Linked DNA regions of Schizosaccharomyces pombe. Changing the gene in region 1 together with any one later gene gives a genetic interaction. Each region holds a gene or a part of one and is shown in the gene's direction. Other genes may lie near its edges.

Region 1 (3,445 bases):
AACACTACACTTGTAACGCACATTATGTATAGGTTGCTCACAATGGTCACAAATGGCGTACATAAAATTAGATTGGGGAGAAACTGACATAGAATTTACGCTGCAGGTTAAGGAAGCAACTGAAGGGATTGAAGAGCGAACAAGTACGAAATGGGGTTTTGGGCAAGGATGGAGGAATGCCTGTTTCGCATAGCAGTCTCTACAAACATCGAAATCGAAACACTTTGTGCAATGAAATGAGTCATTCCGAATTATCTTGAGGCAAGTGTTACAAGCAACAGAAGAAGACCTTAAAGTAGGCGAATTATTATTGTGCTCAAAAATGTTTGACTTTAAATTATTCTCCTTAGTGAAGTGGATATTAGCGACTGAGGAATGAAAAGGAGGGAAGGAAGGAACACTATGGTTGCAAAGAATCCCACAATCAGAAGAGGGACATGTACGATTGCAAAGCATTTCGGGATCAAAAACGTGAATAAAATAAAATAAAATTTAATGATAAAAGAGAGCGTTAAAGAAAGCAAAAAAAAGAAAAAAATCGCGTAAGCAGTCAAGAAGTAACTCGAGTTCTTAGGTAAGAGAAGGTCTTAATTGTAGGTAAAAAGCTCTTTCGAAATAAGCTAAAGCAAAATTAGTAACGATATTAACTAATGAAATTAGTTGCAAAGTAAAATTTAATAGTTCATATGAATTTTGAAATTGAGGAAATATGTGACGCCGAAGTGAGCAACAGTGCTAGCAATTTCAGAGTAAAGGCAATAGAAAAAACAATCTTTATCAAGACAAGGATTTTTACGTTCTCGTAAATATTTATCGAAGATGTTATTATTAAAGTTCCATCAACCACTTTAGTCCTTCAATCCTTTTTGTAATTTGTTGTACAAACATTGAACTTAAGACTTTGTGCAAGTAAATTATCTTACCTATAGACGGAACAGGAAATAAAGACAAAACAAATAATTGAAGCGGATGTGTAGAGATACAGTGCAAACGAAATGTAAGGAGCGTTGGAATTGCAACTATAATGACGGGTTCCTAATTGGTTATGAAATCAAGCTATTAATTCTAAATGGGATGTATTCAACGGGTGAAGTGAGCAGGACAAATTCGCTAGTAGAAGTTGATGGTAATGTAAATGAACGAGGTCGAGGTGTAAGCTTATCACACGTATATGGGGGATGAGCATATCGTACTGATAATAGATAAGTTAAGCGTCGCTAAAAAGTGGTAGCGTTTAGAAGCGTGCACAGCATAAACAGTAACTTAGCGAATTTATCTACAAGAGGTTGGTACTTCAACGCATGGCCCTAAAAATGAATATATGAAAAATTTTGTTGATGTAGCAAACTTGAAAAAGAAATTGATTTAGTTAAATTGGAAACTACTTAACTTAAGCCCTAAAATGTACTTAGAAATCGGCTTAGACATTAAACTAGATATGGGTTATGGCATAAATGTAATTTAAATGAGATGTGAGTCGATAAAGTATTAATATTATATATTCTTAAATCATAAGTTGACGCTATTCTAATATCAATAAGCGATTATGAACTGAAAACGTAAATAAATGCAATTTCTCTTACAGCGTAAAATCTTTTACTACAATAATAGAAAAGGGTAGGAAAAACTCCATTATATTGGCTAAAACCGGTCACGGTATCTTTTGATGATCCGTTTGTAAAATCAATTGCAAATGAAAAGACACTAGAGAAGGTGATAAACGACCAGTTTATAGCTAAGTTAATAATTAATGGTATACTCCGCGTTATGATTTTGCTCAAATAATAATTTTGGTTTTTTGCTGATTGTTAATATTTACATTAATGAAATTTGTAAATATACGTCAAAACAAATTAACATCATACTTACATTGTCATACTAATCGCACGTTTACGCATTAACGGGAAAAAAGTAAGCAATATTTCAGTTGGATTTTAAGTCACTCATGCACCGAAATTTTTTCCAGCATATTATTAAAAGTACAAGAACATTAGGTATAAATGCAACTTCATTTCTAACCCGATATTTACTTAACGTTGGTAGACACCAGCATCCTCCGAAATTGATTAGCTCATATTCTCACATCGCTATTTCCACCTTCTCTTTTCAAATATCAGCAACTTCATTCCAACACCCTTCATACACTGTCAAAGGTTTGAGCACCTGTATTGATAAAATGAGCCAAGATCAAAAACCTAAAGTTTTGGAAGTGTCCAACCTTGAGAATCAGGATGCCAAGTGGACATCCTTAAAGAAAATCCGTTGGCAAGACGAAAAAGGAAAAATCAGGTTTTGGGAAATGGCTGAACGTACGACACGTTCAGAAGCCAATGTGGATGCCGTAGCCATCTTAGCCATTGTTCCTATCGACGGAAGTCCTCATGTGTTGTGCCAAAAGCAATTTCGTCCTCCTATTGGCAAGTTTTGTATTGAAATTCCAGCAGGTTTAGTTGATTCTAAGGAGTCTTGTGAAGATGCTGCGATTCGAGAGCTTCGTGAAGAGACTGGCTACGTTGGTACTGTTATGGACTCCACCACTGTCATGTACAATGATCCGGGTCTTACGAATGCTAATCTTAAGATTATACTGGCTGACATTGACATGTCGAAGCCTGAAAACCAAAATCCTCAACAACAACTTGACGATGGCGAATACATTGAGAACTTTCCAATCAAGCTTTCTTCTTTACAAGAGGAATTATTTTCTTTAGAGAAGAAGGGATTTGCCATTGATGTTCGTCTCTCCACATTTGCACTAGGATTACATGCTGGTCTTAAATACTTGTCGTCTTAGCTATGCACCTTTTGCTATTCACTGAATTACGACCGTTTACTATTAAATGTTGCTAATGGACTTTTTATGCTATAACTTTCCTTTGTTTTAGTCAAACTTTATTAAAAATAATATATATGTCTATCCAATAATTCCCGTTACCGTGTTCCCCATAATTCGTAGTTCATTGCGTACATAACTGAAAAGTAATCAAAAGAAAAGAAGAAATACCAGTTATTAAGTTCACCATTACCATACATGCCTAATGAAAAAGATTTAACATTGCGCTCCATGAATAACGTTGGTTGTAAACTTCACGAACTTGCTGAAATGCTTGCACATTTGAAATGGGAAGTTGTGTTACTGGATCTAGGTAAATAGCTGGCTTCCCTGTAATAACGCACTCAACTGCTCGATGTTGAGGCATTTGAAGTGGAGGAGCACTATGACAAAGAGGGTGTTCCAACGGAGCAACATAGTAATTCGAAGCCTCCCTTCCATCTTCAGTGCTAATAGTTTTGCTAATGAATTTTAAAATTGGCTCACGTAACTGGCGATGCTTAGCAGCATTCCGTTTAAGTCGTAGTCGTCTTTGTTCTTCCAAATGAACATAGTTTCTTAAGGAGCTAAGGTTTTGAGCTTCAGTTTTGGCAGCCTCCTCGAAACGCTGCT
Region 2 (3,589 bases), 1.1 Mb from region 1:
TTTGAATGTAAACAAAACCAATTCAACGGGGGAAAATGTGTTTCAAAGAAGGAAAGGTCCAGAATCTATCGATTAGCTAAATTCCTTTCCTTGTTAGTATATGCGTATAAAACGCGGAGAATCTAAGTGCGAGTAAAAAAAAATTCCAGATAATTGTTTGTTTCCGACAAGTTGAAAAAGACGGCGAAGCAAACCTATTTGTTCACTTATACAAATATATTAAAAAATAATTAAAATCTTTAATTTGTTAACTCGGTAAAATCGTTAAATTATCGCTAAATAAATTTATCGACCTTTATCAAATTTTCTTCATTCAATTTACGAGTTCTCAACCACCGTTTCGTTATAAATATTTGCGTATTCAACGTTAAAAACCGTAATTATCCTTCTTGCCTTTCCGGCCCAGTGGAAGTTCCAATGACGCCGCGGAAGGGCTGCACACCTCAGTAGCGAATATGGGGAAAGAGCAAATTCATGCTTGCCACGATGACTACCTGGATGCTTGATGTAGGTGACGTGTTACTTAAGATGAAAATGTAAATACAAGAGAAGAAATGGGTCAAGAAGGCGATTAATGGATGAAAAGAGAAATTATTCATAGAAAAATTTTTCCTTAAATATGCGCTTTTATTAATCTTTCGTTTAGGTTTTTTTCTCTCGTAAATTAATTCAGATATAGGTATTTAATCAACATTGCCAATTTCAACAAGTTTTAGGGGTTACGTGCAATAGTTTTATTGTTCTATTGTTTTTTAATTCTTCTCTCAATCCTAACTCTTGAAATTTTGTCGTACAAGACATTTTTCGCATTTCGTCAAGTTAAATTTTATGTTAAACTAGAGTTATTTGCGAATTAGGCTAATGAGCAGAAACCACTTGAATATACAAAATTTTATTTATTTATTTATTTATTTATTTTTTTTAAAAAAAGAGTAAATGGTAATTAATCTACTAGAAGCGTAAAAAGAATTGTTCAATACTTCAAAAAGAAAAATATGTATATCATATATCAAACCAGATTAGCAATCAATGCCAATAGCTTTATTCATTGAAAAAATAAAAAAAATAAAGAACGGTTATAGATGAGTCAATTAATTTCGTACTTTAACGTTAGTTGGTTTATTTCGTTTTTGTACAACATTATTTACTTTTTTAAATACTTAGTTCCTGCTTATCATAATGAATATAGCTAGCTTCATTAGTTAAAATTATTAGTATAGTTTTCGAAATTGTAAACGCTACTATAGTTTCTTTTTTCTGTAATTTCCTAAATTGCTTCAAAACAGCATTTGCAATGCAGCACATTCTCAATTAAGAGCAGTTGTAAGCAAAGAGCAATGAGAAATCTTTCAAATTAGATAAAATGAAGTACAGTAAGATCCACATATTCAACAAAGCTATCCTTTCCCTTTAGTGTCTCTGTTGCTATCACTTATATACGAAAGCATGGCATTGGAAGCGTAAAATGAATCATTAATTTTGCAGATGTAGTTTTCTGGGATCAGGAAATAAAAAATTTAAGAAATTTCAAAAGAACTTGAGAAGAAATTGATGAACTAGTTGGTCTGTAGGCAAAAGATCAATGATACCAAATTGTTTCCTTGATAAAAGTCCCATTGCCAAACAAGAGTATAAGTTAAAAGAAAGTAAAGAAATAAGGAAAAATATAAATTGATGATACAACTATACTATCAAACTATTCTTTGCAATTGTCAGTTTTAAAGTTGAAACCTATTTCCTGTAGGATAGACAAACGAGGAAGCAAAAAATACCAATAAAAATGTTTATGATTTTCAACTAGTTATGTATAATTTGAAAATCACTTTAAATTGACTCTCTATTGAAATCACCGCCATGTCAGTTTCAACTCTGATCAAAGATCTCATGAACTAAGGATTGCATTTGACATTTGGAGTTACCAGGTAAAAGAAGAGGAAAATTTTGGTAAAAGGTTGAACCGTTTTGTCTACGATCTGTTGGTCCATTCGATTTCCCAGCATATACCTCTTCTTGTCCAAACCACGAAACGTAACCTTTAATATTCATGTCTCAATCTTTTCTACTATAATTAAACTCACGTATAGGATTGACTATACAACATCAATCTCCAAGCTGTGATAACGAGTATTTTCCATCTGATCCCAACCAACCTTTTAGGAATATTTATCCTTTCCAAAGCAAACCAAATCATTTCTTTTCGAAATTTGATTTTTTTAACAAAAAGTGTTAAGATCGTAAAAATAACAAATGCCTCCATCTACAGTTAATCAAGAAGTCAATTCTATCCTATTCATCAAGAACTTGTCTTTTAAAATTACAGCAGAAGAGATGTACGATCTTTTTGGTAGGTATGGTCCTGTACGACAAATAAGGCTGGGGAATACGGTTCAAACAAGAGGTACTGCATTTGTGGTTTATGAAAACGTTCAAGACGCTCGTCGAGCTTGCGAAAAGCTTTCTGGCTACAACTTCATGGATAGATACTTGGTTGGTACGTTATCTTAGGGAATGTATTAGCTACTATTAATTTTAATTTCTCCTTTCTAACGGCTTTTTAATATCTTCTTGTTAACTTTTTTTTTAGTGCATTATTATAACCCTGAAAGAGCTAAGGTTGATGGTCAAGATTTGGCAGCAAGGTATGCCGCCTTGGAACAAGTTAAGCAAAAATACGGTGTTCAGTGAACGTTTACTATTTATTTACCAAAAAAAAACAAACAAATTAGGAGTCTGATATTGACTCCATTAACGTGTAATAGATTTCCTCTTTCTATAAATTCTGTTGAAGAGAACATACAGCAGAAAAATGAATCGGCTCATATTAAACAATCGTTTACTAGTGTTTCGAACCTAGGTATAAAAAAGGTACTATAAGGACTTGAATTTTATTATATTTCGCTTAAAGCTTTTTAGTAATAATAATGTAATGCATTGATCTATAATATAACAACGTCTACATGTAGTATTAAGATTTGAATCCCTAATAAAACGTATCCAAATTTGCCCAACCGTATTTCCCAATTAATAATTTTATCTGGCACAAACTTCAAATCATAATGAGCTAGTTTCCAAAGTCCAACCCTTCCAGCTTCATTACCAACACATAACTCACCACCCTTACCAAAAGCTAGGCATGTAACTCTGCCTAAAGGCGTAGCGCTGGTGGGCCAATTACGGAACACACTAAAGCTGGGAACATGAACGAGTCGTAGAGTATCCTTCTTTCCTCGAGATGCGATAGCTAAAACTTGACTATCTTGAGAAAAGCTCATACTATTTATGCTGAAAGTAATATTATCCAATGTAGTGACAGGTTTTGGTGCAGCGTCCGCATTGGATGTCTGGAGGTCATATATATTAACAATACCACTCTTGCTACCAATTGCCAAATACTTATTAGATGGGTCCAAACAAAAATGAGTGGTAGATACACCATCTTGAACTTGCCAACGACGAACGACTGAACGTTGCTCAACATTAAAATGCCATACCTCCGCACCATAACTAAGCACCAACATTTCCGACCCGTCAGAAGTGAACAAAACGTCGGAAAGTACACCTTCAATTTTAAAGCTTGTAGCAAACTGAC

The links.
Region 2: mutations in ysa1 (region 1) and sap14 together harm fitness less than expected from each alone (positive genetic interaction), as found in Schizosaccharomyces pombe (one large-scale study listed by BioGRID).

The regions. Positions count from the first base shown.
Region 1 is NC_003423.3:987,382-990,826, forward strand, and holds ysa1 (subfamily NudF ADP-ribose diphosphatase Ysa1), read left to right. Parts: upstream 1-2,108; 5' UTR 2,109-2,176; coding exon 2,177-2,794; 3' UTR 2,795-2,945; downstream 2,946-3,445. Other genes in the region: protein Nbr1, read right to left, coding at 1-456; Swr1 complex histone chaperone module subunit Swc2, read right to left, coding at 3,036-3,445.
Region 2 is NC_003423.3:2,049,354-2,052,942, reverse strand, and holds sap14 (Pre-mRNA branch site p14-like protein), read left to right. Parts: upstream 1-2,174; 5' UTR 2,175-2,247; coding exon 2,248-2,491; exon of another isoform or gene 2,492-2,584; coding exon 2,585-2,685; 3' UTR 2,686-2,946; downstream 2,947-3,589.